7 linked regions of the Macaca fascicularis genome follow. The protein of the gene in region 1 purifies or fractionates together with the protein of each later gene. This does not show direct contact. Links are inferred from orthologs where the notes say so. Each region holds a gene or a part of one and is shown in the gene's direction. Other genes may lie near its edges.

Region 1 (3,421 bases):
AAAGCTCAGTAGTTGTCAAAGGTGTTTGATAACATTGGTTCTTGCAGGTGTCATTAAATGTCTTGAGCTGGGCATGGTGGCATGTGCCAGTAGTTTCATCCATTCAAGAGACTGAGGCAGAAAGATTGCTTATGCCCAGGAGGTTGGGGCTGTAGTGTGCTATGATGGTGCCTGGTGAACAGTCATTGCACTCCAGTCTAGGCAACATAGCAAGACACTGTCTTTTTAAAAAGAAAGAAACAAAGCCTTACATGTAGAAGGATGAAGTGAAAAGTTTCATAAGCCAAGTTAGTGTTATTTTTGGATATGACATCTGAAATATCTGTTGTGTCTCACATCTAGAACACAAAGCAGTCTCAGAATTTTCTCAGCCAGAAGTAAAAAGAACTTTATACAAATTATGAGTATAAATTAGTAGTTTAGAAGACCAGAGTCTTTATGAATTTATTGTAAAATAAATAATAGGGCATTGACAGATTTATCAGTAAGGAATAGGAAGAGAAGGGTTGATTGATAATATATGCAGTTCACATTATGAAAAGAGTAGTCAGCTAGAGAAAAGAATTTTGAAATGGAAACTTGACTTGCTTAGTTAGGAAATAGGGAATGAAGTGACTGACCTGTTCAGTTTACAGCATGGAAGATGGAGGGAAAATAGGAATAGAAATGAGACATAAGGACTAAAATTAATTTGTTCTTATTAAATTTGGTCTGGGAAATTCGTAGTATGCATTTCTTTTTTTTAGGCCTTAGGACATTTCATTTGTGATAGAGATACCAGGTGATTATTAAGCGGTTCATGAAGTGTATAGTGGTTGACATACAGGACAAATATTTTCATGTCTTGTGCTGGGAATTACAGATTGGATTCAGAAGAGAATCTGAATTTCAGTTCAAAAGTAACTGCTTTAAGACTCACTTTAACCTTTGGGAGGTAGTATTGTATAGTGTGTGCTTATAGATCTGAAGCCAGACTGCTTGGGTTTGAACCCCAGCTTTTTATGTTCATCCTAGTTGGGTAACTTTGGATAGGAAAGTAAACCTCTTGGCCTCATTTTTATCATGTGTAAAATGGATAATAATGGAGCCTATCCAAGAGGATTGTTTTAAAGATTAGTCAATATGAAGTATTTAAAGAGTGCCTGGTATATAATAAGCAATCAATCTTTAAAATGTTAAACACATCACCTATCATTATCCATTACTGCTTATTAGAAAACAGGAATTTTAAGCCTGCCGTGCATTTAGCTAATAAATGTTTATGCTTATAGGTGGTGAAATTGCCTCTACCTTTGATCACCCAGAACTGGTGAAGCTTGGAAGTTGCAAACTTATCGAGGAAGTCATGATTGGAGAAGACAAACTCATTCACTTTTCTGGGGTTGCCCTTGGTGAGTGATTATGTAGATCCTGGTTAAGGTGTCTAAATTCTTGCTAGGCTCTGTTGAAGTAAAGGCTATTGTAATTACTAGAATAGTGTATCTTACAAGTCTTAACTCTTCAGAAGCATGATACATATTTTGTTTCAGTCTCTTGAGGTCAATCTTGTATTACTGTGTCTTTGTGAAAAGTGCATGTTCAACATAGTTTTTTTCCTTGATAACTTAGAACCATTATGAACCTTGATTGTTGGAGAATGTATAATACAGGAAGACAGATCAGCTTTCAGAACCCAGTAATATAACCAACACCTGTATAAATAATAGAAGGCAAACTTTTTGTCCCTAAGTGGTCACTGTGACTTTTAATTTTAGGTGAGGCTTGTACCATTGTTTTGCGTGGTGCCACTCAACAAATTTTAGATGAAGCAGAAAGATCTTTGCATGACGCTCTTTGTGTTCTTGCGCAAACTGTAAAGGACTCTAGAACAGTTTATGGAGGAGGTAAGCATTTAGAAAATGTTGAATATTTTTATTTCTTGAAGTACAATATAAGTCATAAGTGGTTTTAATGGTTCTTATAGAAACTTTATATTGCCTTTGCACTAAATTTTAAAATGCTTGGCATATCTTAAAGTCAGTAATTCAGTATCTTGGAGACAACTAAGTTTTACAATATTTTGTTGGAAATTTAATCTATAGGCTGTTCTGAGATGTTGATGGCTCATGCTGTGACACAGCTTGCCAATAGAACACCAGGCAAAGAAGCTGTTGCAATGGAGTCTTACGCTAAAGCACTGAGAATGGTAAGTTAATCAGAATGAGAGATCTGAACTTAAGTTTTGTGGTTATTGATAGTTTTAAAATGAGTAGAAAATAAACTGGTTAATACTGCTTTTAAATTTAATTCTGGAGTTTCTCTTCTTCGTGAGCAGTAATTGAAGCAGATATTACATTGTTTCTAAATGCATAATTTTAAAAAGCTATCCTAGTTAGGAGTAAATCAGTGGTTCTTAGAGTGAGTAGTTACTTGTTTTCTTCATTTCATAGTTGCCAACCATCATAGCTGACAATGCAGGCTATGACAGTGCAGACCTGGTGGCCCAGCTCAGGGCTGCTCACAGTGAAGGCAATACCACTGCTGGACTGGGTAAGCAATCAAGGGGAACTTTGTGGCCGTTGTTAAAAGTAACTCTTTTCACCGGCCCTTTTTTTCTTTTGGAGCATAAAGAGTTAACGATAACCAACCATATAAAAGACTCTTCTGCTTTGTCCTCGTAACCATTATATGTGCTGGGAAAATGTGTGTGACTTTATATGCTCAGCATTTCCCAAACTTTGTTATTCCATAAGACATATAAAACTGATTAGAAGATTTGTAACTATTTGGTATATAATGACTATAGGATTTAAATATAAACAATACTTACACTCTGGAAAATAACATAAACTATTATGTTGCTTATACAATCAGTATTAACTCCTAATTTCATAGTAAACTTACTGCGAGATAATCTTGAGTACAGATCACAGATCTCCAGTCCATAGGTAAGAGTGGCCAATGAGGCAGATTTAATTCGTATTGAAAAACTTTCTGACAAGCTGTGCTGGACATTATAGAGTAGTCTTAAGAAGATAGATAATCCTGTCATTGAACAAGAGGGAGCACCGGTTAATCTGTGAGAAAGTGAAGCAGGATTCTCACAAGAAGAGAAGTTGTGTAGATGACTTCTGAATTTTCTTCCATTTGTTTTTCTTTTTTTTTTTTTTTTGAGACAGAGTCTCACTCTGTCTCCCAGGCCGGAGTGCAGTGGCCGGATCTCGGCTCACTGCAGGCTCCGCCTCCCAGGTTTACACCATTCTCCTGCCTCAGCCTCCCAAGTAGCTGGGACTACAGGTGCCCGCCACCTCGCCCGGCTAGTTTTTTTGTATTTTTTAGTAGAGACGGGGTTTCACCGTGTTAGCCAGGATGGTCTCAATCTCCTGACCCCGTGATCCGCCCGTCTCGGCCTCACAAAGTGCTGGGATTACAGGCTTGAGCC
Region 2 (3,740 bases), about 48 Mb from region 1:
TAAGCATGTACTAATGGCATTGGTAACTCCCATTCACTCAGAGCTTCCTGTGGGCCTTACATCCATAAATCTAACTACAGCCTTACAAAATAGGTAGTAGTGTTTTCCCCATTTACCAAGAAGTCACTTTGCTGCTTAGAGCAGTGAACTGGCTTGCCCCAGTTCTCAGAGCTAAGAAGTTGTGATTCAAACCTTAGGGCTGACTTCAGGGTCAGAGCTGCTCATCACTGTGGTTCCTTGGCCTTTTTCAGACTAACACGGTGGAATCTTACCCTTGGGAATTGATGATCAGTTTCTGACCTAATATATAAGCGAGAATGAGTTCAGTGGTGTTATCCCAGTCCATATGGGAAGGAAGGTTTCCATTCCTACACTTCCTTCATCCCAAGACTGTCTCACCTGAAATTGAAAGTAACTCCTGAGTGAAGATAGATTTAAGTCGGTGTTAATGGGGTAGCCATGTTCCAGGATGTCACCTGTGCAGTTCAGCCAGCCTTAAGAATTCTTTATGTCGAGCTTATTTCTGAGTTCATTTATACAGGAACCTCTATATTTGTAGAGTGGGAGATGATTTGGGGCTAAGAAGGAAGTTCTCAAATCTGTCTATGCTGAGTTTGGATTTAATTTAAACAAACTTGATTTTGGCACTGGTAGGAGAGTGAGCAGAAAAGCCAACACTGAGTGATGAATTGAGGGCCTGACCTGGAACCAATCCTGTTCCTCCCTCTTCCTCTCTGGTGGAAATCTTAGACTAGAATAACTTAGAAAGCCATGGCATCACTGCTTCACCTCCATGAGCATCTGCACTTTGGAAATAGTGCTCCCCCAAGATGGCCTGATGATGTCAACTCATCTGGGTTTTATTAGAAAAATGTGAAAGTATATTTCTGTTCTCAAAACTTCCAAAGTACTATTTAGTCTGTGATTAAAGAATACTGTAGACCAGCAATCACTAAATGGACCCAGATACTTAAGATGCCAGTTTCTCTGTAAAGTGCAAATCCTGCCTTGGCAATAAGGTGGCATCCTGGCACAGACTGGAAGCTTTTTGAAGTAGTTTACAGCCCCCAGCAAATGGCACCACCACTGTCAGTCTCAGCCTCTTGGTCTGTCAGAAAGCCAACACGGAGATAAAGTTAAAGGGCTAGACAGAGGATGTCCGTTGTAGGAAAATAACAAATGATTTGGAGGAGTGAGAGGAACCAAGCAGCCATTGTCTGAGGCGGGTTTTATGCATGGTTTAGGAATTATTTTTCACTTTGGGTGAAAGGTTCCCACAAAATGCTCTGAGTATCCTTGGAAAAGGCACCCCTGGCCCGAAGAGCCAAGCCAGTTTTGTCTTGTCCATATACGCCCCTGAATGGCAGTGGCAGTGTTCCCAGGTCTGCGATATTAGCCTAGAGCGGCTGTCCTTTGTGATGGACCTGCTGCTTGTGAAGCTGGGCCCAAGGATTAGGAGAGTCCCCCGGATGTTGACGCTCCCTCCAGCTCCTCTGGACGGTGTTCCGGAGGCCGGCTTTGAACTCTTTGGCGTATGGTCAGGGCAGCGCTGTCCTTTCACACTGTGGATTTTCATTATTACACAGCGTGGCTCACCTTCCATGTGTCCTCTCGTGATTTACTCGAAGAGGCGAAAGCCTGTTGGGAACAGCACCGTGGAGAAATGGGCCGCCTGTGGATGGACAGAATCAAATTATTCTTGAAAAGTGCGTCTCAGACTCGTGCACATTAGACAATGTGCCGGTGGTGACGCATTCAGGACTGGGGAGCAGGGTGGGTAGAAAAATGTGTTTGTAGATCCCTTCCTTACCCTCTGGTGGCCAGATGGACCCTGATGACATTGAAACCAGGAGACAGCAGATCACTTGGATATTTTGAACCTTTTGGCCACACATTTTGGCACGAATGTTAAAATATTCTTTTTTGCGAATTTGGAACTGAGTGAATGTTATTTATTCAGTTTCTTGTAAAAACAAACAAAAAAAAACCACACACAAAACAAACAAACAAAAAACCTTTTATTTTTTGAATTGCTATTACATCCCCATGGTTCAGAATTTAAAAGACACAATAAGGCTGATGGTGGGAAATCTCTGCATCTCATAATCCACTTCCCTCCTTGAAGGCAGCCATTGTTAGTAGATTTATGGATGTGCGAGTCAAGCGTGTGGTGTACTTTCTCCGCCCCCACCTTGTACACATTCAGCAGGTGAGGTTACCTTACTCATCTTGCATCCTTGCTTTACCCGCTAAGTATATCTTGGAGAATCATCCCATTTGTTTCGTTTTATAAAGAACGTTTTCATGCTTCCCTCTATGACTGCATGGTATTCCAGTGTATAGATACACTAAGTTACTTAATTAGTCCCTTAGTAATGGGTGTTTCCGTTTTTCTAGTTTTTAGCTAAGACACAATTGTACTACAGTTCATGAATAACCTTGTATATAATTATTTTTTATATTTGTGAGTTTATTTGTAAGTAACTTCTAGAAGTGGATGTCCTAGGTCAGAGTGTATGTTCATTTGGTATTTTGATAAGAGTTGCCAAAGTTCCCTTGATAGAAGCTGGACAAGATTTATGTCCCCACCAGCAATAAGTGGAATCCAGAAACATGGAACATGGTTTTTCCCTCCTTCACTTCCAGCCTAGGGTGTTATCAGATTTCTTGATCTTTACCGATATGAAAGATGAAGCATCATATTTCAATGAATTTTCATTTTGTATTTCTCTTTTTAGGCATGTCTTATGTTTCTCTTACACTGAACATCTTTTCTGTTGTGTAAGAGCTGTTTGTGTTTCATTTCCTGTGGGTGTTTCATTTGCCCATCTTTTTTCTGTTGGGTTGCTGGCCTTCGCATTGATGTGTAGGTGGAATTGCATATTTTTGACCAAGTCAGGATGAATTTGTGGGACTAAACAACTCTTACCTTTTAACAGGTTCAGTACCTTGAAATAGTTCCAGAAACTGGAAGGTACCCTGTGGCAGTAGCCGCTGCTGGAGATCTGATGTACCTGCTCAAAGCCGAAGACTCTGCCAGAACCCTCCTTTATGCCCACGGCCCGCCTGTCACATGTCTAGACGTCTCTGCCAACCAAGTTGCTTTTGGTGTACAGGGCCTGGGATGGGTGTACGAAGGAAGCAAGGTACACAACTAGCAAGATGTATAATTAACAAAAAAGAACATAGATTTATTTTTTAGCAGGGACTTGAAAAATTAAAGCTCTTCAATATTTTTCCAGATAGGGCAGTATATAAGCATGGTCAAAAAATTCAAAGAACTTCAAAAGGATTGAAAATGAAAATTAATCGTTTTCTTTCTCCTCCCTTCCCCCAACTTCGCTGCATAGAATAAACTATTAACAGTTTTGAGGTATCCACCTAGAAAAATGTAATGCGTATATAAGTACATTTGTATACTGAAAACATATTGTTGTAGAGATGCGATCACAGTATACATAGTGTTCTGTACCCAGCATTTTTACTCCATAATGTGCCTTGGGGAGAGCATTCCATGTCAGCTCTTACCAACTCTCCCTCCCTAGGATTCCAGCATATGCTTCTAGCTCATAGCCTGTTTAGCCAGGCCCCTCACTGGTGGGCATTTAGCTTGCTTTCACTGTGTTGGCTGCTATAAGCAACGCTACAATGTATATTGCAGCTTGCAGAAGTCCTTGTATATATAGTGTATCTCTAGGATGTGTACTTGCGATAATGATGGACATTGCCAAGTTGCTTTT
Region 3 (3,740 bases), on another chromosome or scaffold:
TTTGCATTGCCCTAGGTTCACTTTCAGTGATCTGTTTCATACTATTTTGCCTTTGGCAGGCTTTGGTGTTAAGATGTTGAGTACTGCCAACATGAGAAGCAGTCAGTACATTCCGATGCATGGCAAACAGATCCGTGGACTGGCTTTTAGCAGTTACTCCAGAGGCTTGCTACTCTCTGCTTCCCTAGACAACACTATTAAACTGACCAGGTGAGTGATTTGGGGAGGAAGGTGGAGACTGGGCTGTTTGGTGTTGAGTAGCATGGAATTAGTATCAGTGTTATGATGACCTTAGCTCTTTTTTTTTGGTCTGAGACTGTGTCTTCTGAGATCTATTTAAAATACATTGCTTTTAGAAGTGGGCACAGCAGGTTACAAAACTGTGTTTCTTATTTCTTTAAAATTATATATATTACAAAAAATGTCTTAAGCATATTTTAAGGAGATGAGAATAAAACTCTAAAGTTGGTGGAGGCCAGCCGTGGTGGCTCACACCTGTAATCTTAGCACTTTGGGAGGCGAGGCAGGCGGATCATCTGAGGGTCAGGGGTTTGAGACCAGCCTGGCCAACATGGTGAAACCCGTCTTTACTAAAAATACAAAGATTAGCTGGGCATGGTGTCAGAAACCTGTAATCCTAGCTACCAGGGAGGCTGAGGCAGGAGAATCACTTGAACCTGAGAAGTGGAGGTTGCAGTGAGCCAAGATCAAGCTACTGCACTCCAGCCTGGGTGACAGAGCAAGGCTGTGTCTCAAAAAAAAGTAGTAAATGAATAAATACATAAATAAATAAATAAAATTTAAAAATAAAGTTTGTGGAATGACAGGATGGAGGGAGCTTTGGTACCTGACATCAGAGTCACCATACTAGGTCGGTACTGTTTACTCCTAGTCCTGGTCTGTTACCTGGACAATTCTGTATAACAGAGATGTTCACCAAGCACTCACTGCCCTTGGGTACCATGATGACTTCTTTTATACCCTTACTTAGTTACAGTGTTTTATCTGTCACATGCTCTGTGAGTACTGTGAACCAGATGTGAGTGTGCTCCATGCCTTTATAAGTATTGTTTTAAAAATAAGGTAGAAAAATGTTACATACCAAAGTGTTGGTTGGATTATTATTTATTTATTTATTTATTTACGTATTTATTTTTGAGAGAGAGAGAGAGTCTTGCTCTGTCACCCAGGCTGGAGTGCAGTGGCGCAATCTCGGCTCACTACAACCTCCTCCTCCCGGGTTCAAGTGGTTCTCCTGCCTCAGCCTCCCGAGTAGCTGGGATTACAGATGCACGCCACCACCCCTGGCTAACTTTTGTATTTTTAGTAGACATGGGGTTTCGCCATGTTGGCCAGGCTGGTCTCAAATTCCTGACCTCAAGTGATCTGTCTGCCTCAGACTTCCAAAGTATGGGATTACAGGCATGAGCCACCATGCCCAGCCCCTTTAATTTATTATTTTACTTCTTTACAACTCAAGAGGAAAACCTGTGACCCCCAAAACAAATGTTATGGAATTTAAAGGAGTTACCTGGGCAGATCCTAGAAAAAATAGGAAATCCAGATAGTTTGGTTATATGAGTGTGTTCTCGGTAAGGGTTAATGATCATTTAAATGATAATCTTTACATCTTTGTCATGTATTTGATTTTCTTAATGCAGTTGTAAAAGTCTTTTGTAACTCCACAGCCTGGAGACAAATACCGTGGTCCAGACTTACAATGCTGGACGTCCTGTCTGGAGCTGTTGCTGGTGTCTTGATGAGACTAACTACATCTATGCTGGACTGGCCAATGGTTCAATTCTGGTATATGACGTGCGGAACACGAGCAGTCATGTGCAGGAGTTAGTAGCTCAGAAAGCCAGGTAGGGAGCCACTCACTCTTTTCCTGGTGGTAGCAACTGTCTCTTGGCTTATTATTGTGTTAATCGTCTCTTCAGAGGGTGTTACACAGTTGGTCAGAAATCCTTACAGTTTTTGAAGATCCACTTGATCTCACTTGAGAATTAATAACATTCTTGTTAACAAGAGTTTGTATTCATGATATTTCATATGACAGAGTTTTGGTACAAGTATTGCCAGGTTCATAGTCAGTATTATCTAACATGGCAAAACAGAGTCAGATCTATGTTCAGAACCTAGCTCCACTACTTAGAAGTTGTGTGACCTTAGTTGTGTTTCTTGGCCCATTGTGAGCTTAATCTGTAAAATCTGGTCCATATAGACTTGCTTTAATAGCCACATGTCACCGGGCACGGTGGCTCACGCCTGTAATCCCAGCACTTTGGGAAGACAAGACGGACAGATCACGAGGTCAGGAATTCGAGACCAGCCTGACCAACATGGTGAAACCCTGTCTGTACTAAAAATTCAAAAAAAAATTAGGCATGCATGGTGGCGCATGCCTGTAATCCCAGCTACTCAGGAGACTGAGGCAGAAGAATCTCTTCAATCTAGGAGGTGGAGGTTGCAGTGAGCCGAGATCGCACCATTGCACTCCAACCTGGATGACAGAGTGAGATGCCGTCTCAAAAAAAAAAATAGCCACGTGTCTAGCACATAGGAAGAGATCAGTTAAGGATAGCATAATCAAAAGTGATTTAAAACTTCCCTAATCCAAAGCTAAACCAACTTGTTTGAAGATACTGTATTATTATTATTTATCATTTAATCCAGTTGTGAGATTGAGAAGTTTATAAAGTCAGCCCAAGTTCTGAGGATGGATGGCCACCAGCACCACTCTGTTTTAGAATGTGTTGAGCTGCCCTGTATGTATGAAGTTCTCAGAAGGGAAGTAGGGTCTGTGTCCTGACCAAAATGAAAAGTATCTTAACAGATAATTTATGTTTCCAATTGGATATGTTAAGAGCAAGGAGAGCCAAACATAAAGATATCACTAAAGTAATAATTATTTACTGAAACCTAGGGCCAAATAGAGTAGACAGTAAAATACGGCAAGGTTTTTTTGTTTGTTTGTTTTTGGTGGTGGTGGTGGTGGTTTTTTATTTTTTTAAGACGGTGTCTCACTCTCACCCAGGCTAGAGTGCAGTGGCACAGTCTTGGCTCACTGCATCCTCCACCTCCCGAGTAGCTGGGACTACCAACATGCGCCACCACACCTGACTAACTTTTATATTTTTAGTAGAGATGGGGTTTCACCATGTTGGCCAGGCTAGTCTCAAACCTCAAGTGATTCTCCCACCTCGACTTCCCAAAGTGCTGGGATTACAGGTGTGATCCACCATGCCCAGCCAAACACGGCAAGTTTTAAAATAGCAAGAAAAAAATACTTGTCTGTCTTGTTCATTTTTATTTGTGTTTACTTTGATTACCTTTATTGTGACAGGGAAAATGAAATAAAACAGGCAAGTAGACTTTGGCAACTTTGGCATGAACGAGTTCACAGCAGAAATGAGTTCATAGGAACACAGTCTGAAGGAGGATATTTCTGAGAGAATTCTTGGCGCATAGTCCTGGTCATATGCTTGCAGAAGGAAATATAGAAAATCTAAAACAGTCCTGTTTCTGAATTAAAATGTAGCTGCTTTTAGCTGTATTTTAATTGTGGGGTCTGTCATCTACAACTTGGGATCTTTATTTTGTTTTTTTTTTTTTTTTTTTTTTTTTTGAGACGGAGTCTCGCTCTGTCGCCCAGGCTGGAGTGCAGTGGCGCGATCTCGGCTCACTGCAAGCTCCGCCTCCTGGGTTCACGCCATTCTCCTGCCTCAGCCTCCTGAGTA
Region 4 (3,740 bases), on another chromosome or scaffold:
GGGATATGCTTAGGGTGGAGGAGGAATTAGAATTTAACCTTGCCACAATGATGCACTCTCACACCTTTAGATAACCCACGTAGGAGGCACAGCAAGGACATTTCCATGCACAGAGTGTCCAGTAAACTGGTAAAGAAACCTGGCGTAACAGCTTTGGCTGTCTTTGAACATCATAACCCTGTTTTGGAGCTGCCACTTCAGAAGAATAGGCTCTGCTGCCACTTGTTCTTTGGTTCAGGACACAACATGAATTGGGTTGAATTTATCAGCAAGTCACAGGCATTTATTTAAGTCCTCAGAGAAACCTCTTCCTAATTTGATTTGTACTAATTAGCCCAGGAGCTCTTGCCTCAGGATAACATCAACCTAGTTCTTCATGTTAAGAGATCAAAGAATGAACAATTAGTATTCTAAGGTCATAAGGCCCCTTGAGCATGTCTAGATGAGTGCTTTACAAGCATTTTAAGGCTGGACTTTTCTGGGTCCTGCCCTGTCCCTTTCTTTGTGTGTGGGTTTTTTGTTTTTTCTTGTTCATTTGTTTGTTTGTTGTAATTGTCGTGTTGTTTTCATGTCCTCTCATGTGGTATTGGAATTGGTTCTGAAAGTGATCGAGCTAGAACTAAGTGAGCACCTTTTCTTTAACCATCCTTTGTTTCAGCATGCCCCTAGAAAGCCAAGGTTCCTTGAAACTTTTCTATATACCTGTATATGGAAACTACCAACTATTCCTTGTCCCTTTCATTTAGGAACATTGACTTCTAAAGCGCCGTAGAAGTTCTTGACAGTTAAGTGCATAATTACATTGGAAGAGGTTTTAGAAGAAAGGTTGTAGTGATTCAACTTTTTAACTGAAGGCCAGGCTGAGGAAAGGGGCTTCAAGTTCACCTCAAGGGATTTAGATGGAACATGGAAGAGGACTTTGGAATCTTCTTCTTTGGACAGGGTATTTTAAAGCCAAGTAATTTTGTTTACTTCTAGTGATATGATTCCTGGGAGAACTTTCTGTCTTTTTTGTAAGGTACTCAGGCCCCCTCAGGAGAGCTAAGGAACCTCCACCATTAGTGTTCTGCTGCTATATCTTAGAGACTGATAAATAGAAAGTGAATTTTGAATCCAGAGCTTTTCAAGCACCCGAAGACTTGAGAGCCCATATGGTAGGTTGAGTAAAATGGCAAATTCACCTCTCATAATTAATTTCCTTTTTAGGCATCAACTTCTAACTCATCTCGCCAAGAGAGGCCTCCAGTGAAACCCTTCATTCTCACTCGGAACACGGCCCAAGCCAAGTAGGTAGTACTAGAAAGGGGTTTGCTTTGCAGCCCTCTGCTTTTATGGTTCAATGTGGCAATTCATGAGTGACCCACAGACTGAGTGATGTTGAAAAGTCATGAACTCGGGCCGGGCGCGGTGGCTCAAGCCTGTAATCCCAGCACTTTGGGAGGCCGAGGCGGGTGGATCACGAGGTCAGGAGATCGAGACTATCCTGGCTAACATGGTGAAACCCCGTCTCTACTAAAAATACAAAAAACTAGCCGGGCGTGGTGGCGGGCGCCTGTAGTCTCAGCTACTTGGGAGGCTGAGGCGGGAGAATGGCGTGAACCCGGGAGGTGGAGCTTGCAGTGAGCCGAGATCACGCCACTGCCCTCCAGCCTGGGAGACACAGTGAGACTCCGTCTCAAAAAAAAAAAAAAAAAAGAAAAGTCATGAACTCGGCCGGGCACAGTGTCTCACACCTGTAATCCTAGCACTTTGGGAGGCCGAGATGGGTGGATCACCTGAGGTCGGGAGTTCGAAACTAGCCTGACCAACATGGAGAAACCCCGTCTCTACTAAAAATACAAAATTAGCTGGGCGTGGTGGCACATGCCTGTAATCCCAGCTACTAGGGAGGCCGAGGCAGGAGAGTCGATTGAACCTGGGAGGCAGAGGTTGCAGTGAGCTGAGATCACGCCACTGCCCTCCAGCCTAGGCAACAAGAGTGAAACTCCGTCTCAAAAAAAAAAAAAAAAAAGAAAAGAAAAGTCATGATCTCACCTACGGAAGTTGTTCTTTTATCAAAGGGATATTATCTCTCCCGAAACTTTCACCATGTCTGTCTTCCTCAGACACTTCCTTCGCAAACTCAAGCTTAAAAATAGGCACACATGGGCCAGGCATGGTGGCTCACGCCTGTAATCCCAGCCCTTTGGGAGGCCGAGGCAGGCGGGTCACCTGAGGTCAGGAGTTCAAGACCAGCCTGGCCAACATGGCAAAGCCCTATCTCTACTAAAAATAGAAAAATGAGCCAGGCATGTTGGTGGGCACCTGTAATCCCAGCTACTCAGGAGGCTGAGGCAGGAGAATCGCATGAACCCAGGAGGTAGAGGCTGCAATGAGCTGAGATCACCCCACTACACTCCAGCCTGGTCGACAGAGTGAGACTCCATCTAAAAAAAAAAAAAAAAAAAGGCGGACCTGTAAACAAACAAATAAAACAGAAAAAAGGAAAATAATTGAACGGGGAATTGTATACTTTAAAGGGTTTTTTTTGTTTTGTTTTGTTTTGTCTTTTAAACATTATTCGCACTCTTCCTGCCTTCAGCTACAATTCTCAAAAGGACATATTTGCCTCCCTGTGATTTAATTCTGAGTTCTTGAGATACTTTTCCCTAGGGTGGCATGAGAGTCTCCTTGTTTTCTGTACCTTTCAGAGTCACCAACTGTGAATACCCATTCCACGGTGTCTTCACTGCTTTGTGGAGTATTGGCCTCTGGGATTGCTTAATGGGAGATGATCCTGGGCTATTTATCTTCTCATGAAAGCTCTGGACTTTAATGCCCCTTTCTGGATGCCTCTTTTTACATATCCTCCCGTGAGTTTGCACAACTCCTCAGAAGTTGACTGGGTAGGGAACAAGGCTGAAATGGACACAGACTTTGTTGTTAAAGAGACTTTTTAGTAGTAGTTTTTTTTTTCGTTTTCTAAATGCAGTGTAATTTTTGCAGAGTATTTGGAGCTGGTTATCCAAGTCTGGCAACTATGACGGTGAGTGACTGGTATGAGCAACATCGGAAATATGGAGCATTACCGGATCAGGGAATAGCCAAGGCAACACCAGGTATGACGGGGTAGGAGGGAAATAGTTGTACCACTGGTCTTTTACTCCCTGGCAATTAAGTTCTCACCAAGTATAGTTGCCCTTTAGGAGCAGAAATAGTGGGGACAAAGATTCTGAGTAATAGAAAGATTCTAGGCAGTATTATGTTTATTATTAGATAGCAGATGATTATGGGAGGATGGGGACAGTGGTAGCATAGTTTGTAAATCTCTCCAAATGTCATGACATAAAAACAGAGCAAGCTGTGTAGAAAACTCAGTCTATGGATAGCAGTTCCACATCTGGTAATGGCAGAGTAGGTTGTATCAGGCCAGCCCTTCATACAGGATAACAATTACAAACTGAACAAAATATTTTTAAAAACAACTACCTGAAGGTACTGGAAGGTCACCAAAACAGGTGTAAGCTGAAGGAGAGTCAGCACTTACAAGGAGGAAATGATACTTGGAACTCCTTGAGGGCAGGGACTTTGGCTTACTGTACCTTTAATGCCCAACTTAGTAATTGGGTCATAGTGGGTACTTGGAATTGTCTTTGGAAGGGCAAGATGGAGAGGGTGGCCATCAAAAAGGTGGAAGCAATAGGGTATAACAGAAAAAGTATGGACAGACCTGGGATGAACAGTCTGACTCCTGTCACATT
Region 5 (4,271 bases), on another chromosome or scaffold:
GGTTGTGTTAAAAAAAAAAAAAATATATATATATATATGTATATATGCTAATTGGAAAGTCAGAGCACATTTCACATTAGAAAGGACTTTATAACTGCGGAGGAGACAAGGGACAGCAGGAACAAAGTTCTGAAGTCCAGAAACAGTATACATTATACAGGACACCATGAAAAGTTTGGTTTTATCAGTAATTTTTGAGTCATGGAGGGCCTTGAAGTTGCTGTTAATGTGATTAACCCAAATTACTTCACCTGTGTTCTACAACTGGGCCTTGAGTGGGAGAAGAAATGAAACTGGACAAGTCTCAGGCAAGAACAGTGTGGGACCCAATTAAGAAACTAAGGAAACAGTTTTGGGTAGAAGGAAACTTAAAGAGAAGAATAGCCAGAATCTTATTTTATTTTTATTTATAAAAGAGACAGGGTCTTGCCCTGTCGCTCAGGCTGGAGTGCTGCACGACCACGGCTCACTGGCCTCGTCCTTCTAGGTTCAAGCCATTTTCCCACCCCTGCCTTCCGAGTAGCGGGGACTACAGACGTATAACACCACGCCAGGCTAATTTTTGTATTTTTTGTAGAGATGGGGTCTCACTATGTTGCCCAGGCTGGTTTGGAACTCCTGGGCCCAAGTGATCCACTCCTCTCGGCCTCTCAAAGTGTTGGGATTACAGGTGTTAGTCACCGCTCCCGGCCTGCCAATGTTTTTCAGAGCGAGATCCCAGTACCACCTGAATCAAAATCAGCAGTCTGAGGTAAAAATGTCAGTTCAGCCCCAGGACTTCCCTAAAGAATTTGAGTCCTTCTGCAAGTTTTCTTTATTTTAGTCTTCTTACATGCAACTTCATTGTTAGAATTCTTTTCTAATAGGGATCTGGGGCACATAAGCTGGTCTAGCTGGTAATTACTGAGTGAAAAGGGGGCAAGATAGGCCTTAGCTGTTTTTATTAAAACTGTAGTCTGTACTGGTCTCAAAGACACATAAGCGATTTTTTTTTTTTTTTTTTTTTTTTTTGAGACGGAGTCTCACTCTTGTTGCCCAGGCTGGAGTGCAATGGCACGATCTCGGCTCACTGCAACCTCTGCCTCCTGGGTTCAAGCAATTCTGCCTCAGCCTCCTGAGTAACTGGGATTACAGGCATGTGCTACCGCGCCCGGCTGATTTTTTACTTTTAGTAAAGACGGGGTTTCATCATGTTGGCCAGGCTGGTCTTAAACTTCTGACCTCAGGTAATCCGCCCGCTTCAGCCTCCCAAAGTGCTGGGATTACAGGCGTGAGCCACCGCGCCCGGCCAAAGCGGCCTTCTTTAAGAAGCGCGGGTAACCCGGACTTCCCGCTCTGGCGCTGCGGCCGCTGAGGATCTGAGTGGGCTCCGCCCCGTCCCGGCCCCGCCCCTCTCGGCCTCCCGCCGCAATCTTGGCGGGAAGGAGCCGGCCACCGAGAAGCCGAAAGATGTCCAGGTCGGGCGCGGCGGCTGAGAAGGCGGACTCCAGACAGCGACCCCAGATGAAGGTGAGAAACGGATCGGTGCTTCCAGGTGTGCGCCTGCTTCGGTTTTTGTGAGGGTTATGCGGGACACAGGCCCGGAAGGTCGAGGGCGCCTGGTACCGGGGGTTGGCGGCGATCCCTGCCCTGAGGCCTTCGGCTTTGACGAAAGGTTCTCATCAATAACCCTAGAAATAGTGGGAGAGTCACATCTGGGATTCCCTTTCTTCAACCTTCTGCGTTTGCTTTTGCCACAGTTATGATCAGCTTCACACTCTTTAAATAATTCCAGACAATCCGCAGCTGACAGTGGGGTATTTGCTTCAGTCCAAATGCTAGTCATTATTATTGGTCTGGGAAACTCTGATGGGCACATGTGCCTAGTAAGTGAATTCTGTTGAGGTTAAGGTTAATGAATTACATATCTAGATTTTGGAGGGGGAAAAAAGTTTTCTTACAGGGTGTCAATTTGGATTTATTTATTTTTTTGAGCTTGAGTCTCGCTCTGTTGCCCAGGCTGGAGTGCAGTGGCATGATCTTGGCTCACTGCAACCTCCGCCTCCCGGGTTTAAGCGATTCTCCTGCCTCAGCCTCCTGAGTAGCTAGAATTACAGGCAGGTACCACCACACCCAATTTTTGTATTTTTAGTAGAGACGGCGGGGGGCGGGGGGTGGAGTGGGGGTGGGGGGGGGCGGCGGGTTTCATCATGTTGGCCAGGCTAATCTTGAACTCCTGACCTCAGGCCCTGCCTCAGCCTCCCAAAGTGCTGGGATTACAGGGGTAAGCCACCGCACCTGGCATCAATTTGGATTTATATTGTCATTGTGAAATGGGAATTATTAGATCTGCTGGGGATCCTGTAAGAAAAGGCACAGGACTTGGAATTCTAATACTCTCTTTTCTTTTATTGATCTGAATAGGTAAATGAATATAAAGAAAATCAAAACATCGCTTATGTGTCTCTGAGACCAGTACAGACTACAGTTTTAATAAAAACAGCTAAGGTCTATCTAGCCCCCTTTTCACTCAGTAATTACCAGCTAGACCAGCTTATGTGCCCCAAATCCCTATTAGAAAAGAATTCTAACAATGAAGTTGCGTGTAAGAAGACTAAAATAAAGAAAACTTGCAGAAGGATTATACCTCCAAAGAAGAAAACCACATCTAAGTCTGAATCCGTGCTGCAAAATTCAGCCTCAGCTGTTCATACTGAAAGTAACAAGCTACAATCCAAGAGAACGGCAGATGCGATGAATCTCAGTGTTGATGTGGAAAGTAGTCAGGATGGAGACAGTGATGAAGATATCACACCAGGCGTGGTAAGGACTTAATTAGTAGCTTGTTCTAGTATCTCTTTTTTTAAATGTGAAGTTCTGATAAATTGAAGTTTTTCAAGGCTCTCTCTGGTACAAACAAATTATTTTATCTAATAATGTAAGAATAAATGTAATAATACATTATTATTTTTAAGGTTTAACAAATAACTTCCTTGGGTTATTTTTGCTTTTGCTGTTGATGTGTCAATGAAAGGATTGACTTAATCTTTACTCTGCTTCCCTTTTTCTTTCTTTAAACTTCATATATTTTTGGGTTTACTCATACTTTATGGTGCCTTGCTCACCTTTACATATTTATGTACAGTATATCAGAAGTCATCAGTTTGTGGGATATATGGTATTGACTGACCCTTGATATCAGGGTAGGGAAACTGATTATATGGATGTGTTGAATAATATTTCCTTTAAATGCAAAAGGAGACAAATGACAGAGTAGATAAGATACATGAGAAATGCATTAATTAGTTCTATATAATTCCAATCAACTTAAGGAATTTGGTGTGTAATTTTTTTTTTTGGAGACCGAGTGTCGCTCTGTTGCTCATGCCGGAGTGCAGTGACACTATATTGGCTCTCTGCAACCTTGGCCTCCTGGATTCAATAGATTCTCCTCCCTCAGCCTCCTGAGTAGCTGGGATTACAGGTGCCCCACCATGCCTGGCTAGTTTTGTGTTTTTAGTAGAGACGGGTTTTCACCATGTTGGTCAGGCTGGTCTCTAACTCCTGACCTCCTGATCCACCCGCCTCAGCCTCCCAAGGTGCTGGGATTACAGTGGTGAGCCACTGCGCCCAGCCTGGTCTGTAATTCTTTTGGCTTCTACTGCCTACCAGGAGGGCTGTGCTCCATTCAAACTGACAACTTTTAACAGGATAAGATAAAATATAAAGCACATGACACAATGTTGCTGGAACTCAGGGAACAGAAAATGATAGTAGGGAAAGGGAGATACTATAATTGAAGGGTTATTGTTATGAAATAGAAGTTTGGTTTATGCTTTCTTACCCCAGAGTTAAGAACCAGGACTCATAGTGGGACAGCATAGGATAAGTATTAGATGAATTGGACTTGGGGTTGATAGCCTAGCATGGCCACTTCTTTTTTTTTTTTTTTTGAGACGGAGTCTTGCTCTGTTGCCCAGGCTGGAGTGCAGTGGCGCGATCTCGGCTTACTACAAGCTCCTCCTGCCGGGTTCACGCCATTCTCCTGCCTCAGTCTCCTGAGTAGCTGGGATTACAGGCGCCTGCCACCACCCCCAGCTAATTTTTTGTATTTTTAGTAGAGGGTTCCGCTTTGTTCGCCAGGATGGTCTCGATCTCCTGGACTTGTGATCCGCCCACCTCGGCCTCTCAAAGTGCTGGAATTACAGGCGTGAGCCACCGCACCCGGCCTAGCATGGTCACTTCTAAGAAACCTTGTTCCTTTAAGCAAATCACCTTAGTGAGGGGTTTGG
Region 6 (4,215 bases), on another chromosome or scaffold:
CGTTTGGTAAACAAATGTAGAACTCAAGTACCTTGCACTCTTGAAGCAGCTGAATCCAGTGCGCGCAGGGGGCTACCTGCATGCCAATTCCCCGCCCAATAATCTTGGGCAGGTTACCAAAGTGTGAAGACCTTGACTGAAAAATGGGAGTAATAAGACAAATACCTGATATTGTTGTAAGGATTTAATATAACCTATGTAAAGTGGACAGAAGTGCTCCGCAGGCGCAGAGCAGGTGCTCAAGAAATGCCAGGACCAAAATACCACGAAACTGTGATTTTTATGAGGAAAAGGATCTTTTCTTTAGCGCTCAACGAGGAAATATCATGGGGTCGTGCGCAGTGGCTGACGCCTGTAATCCCAACGCTTTGGAAGGCCTAAGCGGGAGGATTGCTTAATTTCAGGAGTTCGAGACTAGCCCAGGCAACATAACGAGATCTCGTCTCAAAAAAAAAAAAAAAAAATTTTGTTTTAATTAGCTAGCGTTGCGCGGTGGCCGTAAGGTGGCCAATGAGGTTTATGCGAAGCACGATTATTGCTAATTGAAAACTTTTCCCAATACCCCACCGTGACGACTTGCAATATAGTCGGCATTGGCAATCTTTAACAGTCTCTACGGAGCCTATTTCAGTAAAAATAAATAAATAAATAAATAAATAAATAAATAAATAAGTTGAGGGCAGTGGTGCGCGCCTGTAGTCCACCCTTATTGGCTGGCGCGGGAGGATGGCTTGAGCCCAAGGTTTCCAGCTTGGGCGACAGAACAAGACACCTTATCTAGAAAAAAAGAAAACATAAATACTTCGGGCGAAATATCCAGGGCCAGCATCCTTGGAGAGGGCGCTCTCACGAAGGAGCGTGGCCCGAGGTGCCGGGACGCGGAAAAGACGTCTTCCTGGACCGGTGAATTTTTGCAGCTCCACTTACTCCGGCCGCGCCCGCACACCAGCCCAGCTCCACTTTCTGCCGCCCGCGTCCCCTTTAAGACGGAGCCATGACATAATCCCCCACGCTGCGCAGCCTACCTTGGCAACACCGCGACCACTTTTTTCCGGATGACCTCAATTGGCTGGCCAGCCTCCGGAGGCCCCGCCCCCTGCGCGCTGGCAGCCCCGGGCGGCTGCTGTCAATCGGACCAGGTGGGAGCGGTGATTGGCCGCGGGGCCCGCCCTCCAGGAAGCCCCGCGGGGCTCGCGTAGGCTGCACGCTCGGGGAGGGAGGGGCGCGGCGCCGCGTCGGGAGCCGCCGCTGTCCCGGTCCTCCCGCCCGCCCGCCCGCCCGCCCGCCCTCCGGTCCCTCCTGCAGCCCGCCTGCTGGGCAGGGCCGGCGTGGCCCGGCCATGGAGTCCTACGACATCATCGCCAACCAGCCCGTGGTCATCGACAACGTGAGGCCCGGCAGCCAGGGGGAGGGCGGGCGCCCCGCCCCCGGGGGCGCACGCGGCGGCGCAGGGAGAGACCCCCGCCCGCCTCGGCGCGTCCTCCGTTCACTGCTTGGCCGTCGCCCCCGCCGGGCCGCTGGCGTCGCTCCTGGGGCGCGCGCCCACTTGGCCCTGTAAGGCCGGCCATGGGGCGAGCCCCCTCGCCCGCGTTGCAGAGCCCCTTCCCCGACCCCTCCCCGAGCCGGGCGGGGAAGTTCAGGAGAGCTTGAGTGACGGCCGGGCGGCCGGGCGGGGACGCGCCCCGGACCCTTCTCAGCTGAGAGTGCGGTCCCTGGGCAGATTTCAACCCCAGTCCCTTTCCCCGTCCTTCGGCCCTGGCTCTGGCTGCCTGGCGGAGGTGGGGTGGCATTTGTCCTTTGCACACTGCTGGCTTCATCTTTGAGGCTGCACCCCGAGGCAACAAATGCAGGATACTCTGTCACCCACATGTCCACCACCATCTGGTTTGCCTCTTGGCTACTTTGACTTTTTCCTTAAATGCTCCCTGTGCTGGGCAAACATTTCACGGCCAGCAGAGCAATGGAGAGTTCATGGCCACACTTCCCAGTATCAGCAAGCTATTTGGGGTGATCATTTGGAAGCCTCAGAGGAAAGATGTCAGGCGTCCTGTGGTTTTGGCCTTCGGCAGTGGGGCTCGGCTTGCTTTCAGCTACCGTAGGAAGATTTCTGGCCTCCGAGCTCTGATACGGGGAGAAGATAAGGGCTGGGATCTTTGAGTCTGCCCCTAGCTGGGTGTCTGCGTCTGGTGTGCGGGCCTTGGAGTTTTTGGTAATGACTCACTTCTGCTCTTTCTGGGATCTGTCTCCCTCCCACATGACCCCGTGGGGTCCCTGAATGGCTGTCTGTTCTGGAGTACCCACGTGGGCTCCCTGAGTCACAGCAGAGGATGTTTAATGAGGAGGCTAGCACTGAGCTTGGCGACGTGGTGTCACACCAGTGGGACGCTGCAGGAAGGAGCAGGTTACCTCCTTTCTTTTTTTTTTTTTTTTTTTTTTTTTTTTGAGACGGAGTCTCGCTCTGTGGCCCAGGCTGGAGTGCAGTGGCGCGATCTCGGCTCACTGCAAGCTCCGCCTCCCGGGTTCACGCCATTCTCCTGCCTCAGCCTCCCGAGTAGCTGGGACTACAGGCGCCCACAACCGCGCCCGGCTAATTTTTTGTATTTTTAGTAGAGACGGGGTTTCACCGTGGTCTCGATCTCCTGACCTTGTGATCCGCCCGCCTCGGCCTCCCAAAGTGCTGAGATTACAGGCGTGAGCCACCGCGCCCGGCATTACCTCCTTTCTTGATGTGCAAATAACTCGTATGGGCTAATCAACAGGCTTCTAAGTTCAAAGGGCTACCACTAGGCCCCTTGGAGATTCCAGCCTCTCCTCTGTAACTTGGAGATGTTTGTTTCTGCTGCAGACTCAGAGGGTTGCGATGAAGAGCGGTGGAGCTGCGTTGAGAAGCTGGCCCCTTCGCTGGGTGGGAGGTTTCTAATTGCCCGGTTCTTTGGGGGATCCTTAAGTCCAGCTGCCAGGTGGGGGCAGCGATAGGAGCAGGTTCTCCTAGTAGTCTCTGGGGAAGCCACATGAGGGGAGCTGCCAGTCATCCCATGCACCTATTGGTCTTCTCCAGCAGGTCCTGTAGGTGGTCCATGTTCCATGCCTTCTGGGTTCTTGGGGGAGAGGGAAGCTGTTGAAAAAAAAAAAAAAAAACCCATGCAAAGGGGTTTCTTGTAGCTTTTGGGAGTAGCATGTGCTATGGAATCCTCCTGCTGGAGCCGACTATGAGGTGTGCAGAGGAAGGTGCCCTTCATGGTTTCTCTCTCTCTGTATTATTGCATTGGGCTAGGTCATTGTTGGTAGTGCAGGCTCACTTGTGCATTGTAGGATGTTTAGCAGCATCCCTGGCCTCTGCCCACTAGATGCTAATAGCATCCCCCACTGCATGTCCCCTCTCCCCAGCTGCCAGACATTGCCAAATGTTGCCAGGGCAGGGGGATACAAAATTGCTCCCAGTCTTGAACCATTGATGTACTTGTAAATGATCCTGGCAGGGTCCCTGGCTTCCTCCTTGGCCTGCCTTGACAGGGCAGCCAGCTCTCTCCATTGCAGGGGACTGGCTTCATCTGGTGGTGTGTGTGGGCCGTTAAACTTTGTTTTTCCTTGCAGGGTTCGGGGGTGATTAAAGCCGGCTTTGCAGGAGACCAGATTCCCAAATACTGTTTCCCAAACTAGTAAGTGTGGCTCGGGCAGCAGCCTCAGTCCTTCTGTTTATCTTCTGTGAGAACATTAGCCTTCTGTCACAGCACTCTTTGAAGACAATTTTTGCCCTGACCTGTATGGAAAACACCAAATTTGTGAGATTGACACTCGAGAGAGCACTGAAAGAACAAGACTAAGCGTTCTAGGGTTCCCCTTTGTCTTTGGAGTCTCTCAGTTTGGTGGTGTTGAGCCAGCAAGGAGGAAAAGCAGCCAGTATTTCCCTGGGGATGGGGTGTGGTAGCAGCAGCAAGAATAAAGGGAGACACCTCCAAGGGGAGCCCTAAGCTCAGATCAGGAGGAGTGAGGAATTAGATGCACAGCCACCCTTTCCTCCCTGAAGGGGTTTTCTGCTGGACTTGTTTGCAGACTCTAGGAAATGTCTTGTTGCAGTTAAGAGGGGATCCTTTGCCCCGTGTGGTACCGGTGGAGGCAGGAGTAAGAGAATTGCAAACCCAGAGAGCCTGGGGTGCCCCTCGCACCCGCCGCGAGCCCATTGGGAAAGTTGCCCTCAGGAGCACGTCTTCCTGG
Region 7 (4,271 bases), on another chromosome or scaffold:
GCATGAGAAATAATAAGTCGGCCGGGCGCGGTGGCTCACGCCTGTAATCCCAGCACTTTGGGAGGCCGAGGCGGGCGGATCACAAGGTCAGGAGATCGAGACCACGGTGAAACCCCGTCTCTACTAAAAATACAAAAAATTAGCCGGGCGCGGTTGTGGGCGCCTGTAGTCCCAGCTACTCGGGAGGCTGAGGCAGGAGAATGGCGTGAACCCGGGAGGCGGAGCTTGCAGTGAGCCGAGATCGCGCCACTGCACTCCAGCCTGGGCGACAGAGCGAGACTCCGTCTAAAAAAAAAAAAATAATAATAATAATAATAATAAGTCTTCGGGAGTGTCAGTAACCACCTCCTGGGATTTCAGAGTTCCAGGGGTCGGAGGTAAGCTCTTAATAGCTGTGCCTCACTGGCTCACCCCTGGCTATTAGATCCCCTCCCCAGAGAATCGCCTTCTGAGGACTTTGTGACCGCACACCGTAGTTCCTGCTCTTCCCCCGGTTGCCAGTGTCTGGTGGGTGAGTGAGCTCACTTGTGACTGGGGCATGAAGGAGATGATCCTAGGGAGTCTCTTAACTTAGTCCAGAAATCCTCCTTCCATTGCTTGCTTTGTCTCCTTTTTCCCTTGAAGTTTATTTGTTAAAGACAGACTAACCAACCTGCCTGGTTGTCTGTGCTGGAGTGTTTCCCAGGCCGTTGTGTAGCACCGTTGCCTCCGTGTGGGGTCATTGAACACGCTCCCCTGTCTTCAGGTTCCGTTGCCTCCGTGTGGGGTCATTGAACACGCTCCCCTGTCTTCAGGTTCTGTTGCCTCCGTGTGGGGTCATTGAACACGCTCCCATCTGCAGGTTCTGGAGCTTTGGTCACATTCACTTTTTTGGTAAGATTACTTTATAGGCACAGGCAAAATCCTGAAGGTATGATTTTAAAAATTGTTACCATTGCAAAAAATAGCACCTCAAACAAGAACAGTTGTGTTATTTTTACCCATCTGCCTTCCGCTCAATTCTTGGCCCTTATTAGCAAGGTCATGTCTAACAACCATGCAAAGCAGCATCCTCCCTGCCCTCCCTGGCACACTTCACCCGTTTGGTGCCTGTGTATGCTCCACGTGGTTACCTGTTAGTCATCTGTCTCCCTCAGACTAGCAGCCAGCCTGGTTCATGCTGCTCAGCACTGTGCCGAGGCGCCATGGTGCCTGTCGTGTTGAAGGGAGGGTCTGCACATGCGCTGCTCTGCAGCTGTGTTAGTGGTCGTGTCCTTTTATCAGTTGTGGTGGTGCCCTGCTCCCCTTATTCTTCACAGTATTGTTCGGAGCGGTGCATAAAGGGAGCAGGGCCTGAGGACTTTCCGTTGCCCTTTGAATTGCCACAGTCTTAATTTTGGAGATTGACCTGGACTTGGGAATGAAAGAAAAATGGAAAAGTGAGTGAAATTGGTTTAAATTCCTCATGCAGACTCCTCTCTCTCAAAATACTGCTTCATCTTGGAGGTGAGCTGTGATCCTTGTGTGGCTGGTCAAATTAGCAAATTTCCTGCCCCTGTGTAAGACACTGGGGCCTCACTGGGGCCAGTTTGGACTTCGGAAGTTTAATCACTGTAAGGCTGACAGAGCACTTTCAGATTGGTTGTCTGATTTAATCTTCATTTTAGCCCTGTCATGTAGGTAACACCATTCCTATTTTGAATTAAGCAGATCAGAGTAAAAAACAATTTAAAGCATTATTCTTTGTATGTCGCAGAACCAGAAATTGAAATTATTTTTCAATATCTGTACCCTATTTTGTCATTGGCATACTTGCAGCCTGAATGTCGTTATTGCTGACTGTGTAATTTGGGGTCCTGCGGGCACCGCTGAAGTGCCGCTCCTAGACTCTCAGGGGCCTGGATGAGAGGCCTGGGCTGCTGCATTGCCATGAAAGTAGAGGCATTACACGGAGCACATTGCAATGCAAATGTGAAATATTCTGACTTTAAAAATCATGCTAACTAACACTTGACTCACAAAGATGTTGTTCTAAAGTAGGGGCAGATTCCTTCACCTACTTGCTTTTAAGTTATTTAAATCTCTCTGAAAAGGATTTCCAAAACTGAAATTCTAAATAAAAGCCAATGGCAGATATGGGTCATCGGGAAGGATAGACATGAGACCTCAGCAGACCCTGTCTTAGTGGATTAGACGGGCAAGTTCTTGGAGTCAGCACAGCCAGAGCTTAGCCGTGACATTGGCACTGGAGGAGAGGAGCCCAAGCCAGGTAAACCTGATGGTGGGTGTTCTAGAAGGTTTGGGGGACTAAGGATAGTGAAGAGAAAAGCAAAAGCAATAAAATGTAAGTACGACTTTTAAAATTTACATTTATTTTTTAATTTTCAAAGGAAGCTGCGTCAACATTAGGAAGTTTAGTAGAAAAACGTGACTAATAATTATAATAAAAATGCTGTTAGTCTTTTTAACTGTCTTTCTTTAAAATAAGTATATTTTTCTTTTCTTGTTTTTTTTTTTTTTAGGCAAGGTCTCACTCCATTTGCCCAGACTGGAGCATAGTGGCGCAGTCACGGCTCGCTTGTAGCCTCAGTTTCCCGGACTCGAGTGGGTTCTCCCACTTTAGCCTCCCAAGTAGCTGGGACTATAGGCGTGTGCCACTACGCCAGCTAATTTTTTGCATTTTTAGTAGAGGCCAGGTTTTCGCCATGTTGTTGCCTACCCTGGTCTTGAACTCCTGGGCTCAAGCTATCTGCCAGCCTCAGCCTCCCAAAGTGCTGGGACTATAGGCATGAGCCACCGCGCCCAGACCTATTTTAATTCTAATAAAGCAGCTAAAATTACTACCTGCGACTGGGTGCGGTGGCTCATGCCTGTAATCCCAGCACTTTGGGAGGCCGAGGCAGGCAGATCACTTGAGGTCAGGAGTTCAAGACCAGCCTGGCCAACATGGCGAAAACCTGTCTCTACTAAAAATACAAAAATTAGGCAGGTGTGGTGGTGCATGCCTGTAATCCCAGCTACTTGGGAAGCTGAGGTAGGAGAATCGCTTGAACCCAGGAGGCGGAGGTTGCAGTGAGCTGAGATCGCGCCATTTCACTCCAGCCTGGGCCACAGAGCTAGACTCAGTCTCAAATAAAATAACTATATGCAAATTTATATTGTTTTTCACTTAGTATATAGTAAGCGTTTTCCCAAATTATTACTCTCTCCATTATTGTTCTTAGCGATATGTTACAGTTCTTCCAGTAACTATTTAGAGACAAGATCTTGCTGTGTTGCCCAGATTGGAGTGCAGTGGTGCTATCATAGCTCACTGCAGCCTTGAACTCCTGGGCTCAAGCGATCTTCCCACCTCAGCCTCCCAACTAGGTAGGACTACAGGCACGTTCCACCATACCCAGCTAATTGCATCAAGTAACTTTTTGTTTGAGATGAAGTCTCGCTCTGTCACCCAGGCTGGAGTGCAGTAGCATGATCTCCACTCACTGCAGCCTCCGCCTCCCGGGTTCAAGTCATTCTCCCACCTCAGCCTCCCGAGTAGCTGGGATTACAGGCACACGTCACCACACCTGGCTAATTTTTGTATTTTTTAGTAGAAATGGGGTTTTGCCACGTTGGCCAGGCTGGTCTCGAACTCCTAACCTCAGGTGATCCACCTGCCTGAGCCTTTCAAAGTGCTGGGATTACAGGTATGAGCCATTGCACCTGGCTGCATCAAGTAACTTTAAAAAGTTAACTTTAGGCTGGGTGTGGTAGCTCAAGCATTAGATTCGAGTCTAGCACTTTGGGTGGCCTAGGCAGGAGGATGCCTTGAAGCCAAGAGTTTGAGACCAGCCCAGGCAACATAGCAAGGCCTTGTCTCTACCAAAAATTTCAAAAATAGCTGGGTGTAATGGGTGGTGTCTGCTTCTAGTCCTGGCTACTCTGGAGGCTAAGGTAGAAGGATGGCTTGAACTTCAGTGAGCTATGATTGTGCCACTCACTCCAGCCTGGGCAACAGTGTGAGACCCTCACAGGCATTTTTTTAAAGATGTTACTTTAACTTATTTTATTTAAACTGAAGAGTATAAAAAAATTTTTTTTTTAATCTTTCTTGATTCTAAGACCCCAGATTAGCCTCTGTTAACTTTGTGTGTTGGTGTGTAGGGGGGTTAGTAAGCAAACTGTATTTGAAGAATAATGAGAAGAATAAAAGCTGCTCACCTGTTTCTCTGTCTCCAAAAACACCACCATTAACATCTGATGTGTCTAGAAAAAAGATAGCGGGCCGGGTGTGGTAGCTCACACCTGTA

Evidence for each region.
Region 2: the proteins of CCT2 (region 1) and FBXW8 purify together in Homo sapiens (co-immunoprecipitation; 3 studies listed by BioGRID and IntAct, with this or other methods). This does not show direct contact. The link is inferred for Macaca fascicularis from reciprocal best matches to the Homo sapiens genes CCT2 and FBXW8.
Region 3: the proteins of CCT2 (region 1) and RFWD3 purify together in Homo sapiens (co-immunoprecipitation; 3 studies listed by BioGRID and IntAct, with this or other methods). This does not show direct contact. The link is inferred for Macaca fascicularis from reciprocal best matches to the Homo sapiens genes CCT2 and RFWD3.
Region 4: the proteins of CCT2 (region 1) and IGBP1 purify together in Homo sapiens (affinity purification with mass spectrometry; 4 studies listed by BioGRID and IntAct, with this or other methods). This does not show direct contact. The link is inferred for Macaca fascicularis from reciprocal best matches to the Homo sapiens genes CCT2 and IGBP1.
Region 5: the proteins of CCT2 (region 1) and WDR76 purify together in Homo sapiens (affinity purification with mass spectrometry; 4 studies listed by BioGRID and IntAct, with this or other methods). This does not show direct contact. The link is inferred for Macaca fascicularis from reciprocal best matches to the Homo sapiens genes CCT2 and WDR76.
Region 6: the proteins of CCT2 (region 1) and ACTR1B purify together in Homo sapiens (affinity purification with mass spectrometry; 3 studies listed by BioGRID and IntAct, counting the BioPlex papers as one, with this or other methods). This does not show direct contact. The link is inferred for Macaca fascicularis from reciprocal best matches to the Homo sapiens genes CCT2 and ACTR1B.
Region 7: the proteins of CCT2 (region 1) and GNB1 purify together in Homo sapiens (co-immunoprecipitation; 3 studies listed by BioGRID and IntAct, with this or other methods). This does not show direct contact. The link is inferred for Macaca fascicularis from reciprocal best matches to the Homo sapiens genes CCT2 and GNB1.

Annotation. Positions count from the first base shown.
Region 1 is NC_088385.1:76,371,187-76,374,607, forward strand, and holds part of CCT2 (T-complex protein 1 subunit beta), read left to right. Parts: intron 1-1,271; coding exon 1,272-1,391; intron 1,392-1,754; coding exon 1,755-1,883; intron 1,884-2,081; coding exon 2,082-2,185; intron 2,186-2,429; coding exon 2,430-2,529; intron 2,530-3,421. UniProt on the Homo sapiens protein: Component of the chaperonin-containing T-complex (TRiC), a molecular chaperone complex that assists the folding of actin, tubulin and other proteins upon ATP hydrolysis.
Region 2 is NC_088385.1:123,950,274-123,954,013, forward strand, and holds part of FBXW8 (F-box/WD repeat-containing protein 8), read left to right. Parts: intron 1-2,939; coding exon 2,940-3,146; intron 3,147-3,740. UniProt on the Homo sapiens protein: Substrate-recognition component of the Cul7-RING(FBXW8) ubiquitin ligase complex, which mediates the ubiquitination and subsequent proteasomal degradation of target proteins.
Region 3 is NC_088394.1:70,438,371-70,442,110, reverse strand, and holds part of RFWD3 (E3 ubiquitin-protein ligase RFWD3), read left to right. Parts: intron 1-59; coding exon 60-210; intron 211-1,688; coding exon 1,689-1,865; intron 1,866-3,740. UniProt on the Homo sapiens protein: E3 ubiquitin-protein ligase required for the repair of DNA interstrand cross-links (ICL) in response to DNA damage. Plays a key role in RPA-mediated DNA damage signaling and repair.
Region 4 is NC_088395.1:76,905,119-76,908,858, forward strand, and holds part of IGBP1 (immunoglobulin-binding protein 1), read left to right. Parts: intron 1-1,206; coding exon 1,207-1,286; intron 1,287-2,985; coding exon 2,986-3,098; intron 3,099-3,740. UniProt on the Homo sapiens protein: Associated to surface IgM-receptor; may be involved in signal transduction.
Region 5 is NC_088381.1:20,412,692-20,416,962, forward strand, and holds the start of WDR76 (WD repeat-containing protein 76), read left to right. Parts: upstream 1-1,396; 5' UTR 1,397-1,449; coding exon 1,450-1,509; intron 1,510-2,403; coding exon 2,404-2,802; intron 2,803-4,271. UniProt on the Homo sapiens protein: Specifically binds 5-hydroxymethylcytosine (5hmC), suggesting that it acts as a specific reader of 5hmC.
Region 6 is NC_088387.1:2,056,262-2,060,476, reverse strand, and holds the start of ACTR1B (beta-centractin), read left to right. Parts: upstream 1-1,210; 5' UTR 1,211-1,339; coding exon 1,340-1,387; exon of another isoform or gene 1,388-2,209; intron 2,210-3,594; coding exon 3,595-3,659; intron 3,660-4,215. UniProt on the Homo sapiens protein: Component of a multi-subunit complex involved in microtubule based vesicle motility. It is associated with the centrosome.
Region 7 is NC_088375.1:232,963,826-232,968,096, forward strand, and holds the start of GNB1 (guanine nucleotide-binding protein G(I)/G(S)/G(T) subunit beta-1), read left to right. Parts: upstream 1-1,238; 5' UTR 1,239-1,418; intron 1,419-2,214; exon of another isoform or gene 2,215-2,323; intron 2,324-4,271. UniProt on the Homo sapiens protein: Guanine nucleotide-binding proteins (G proteins) are involved as a modulator or transducer in various transmembrane signaling systems.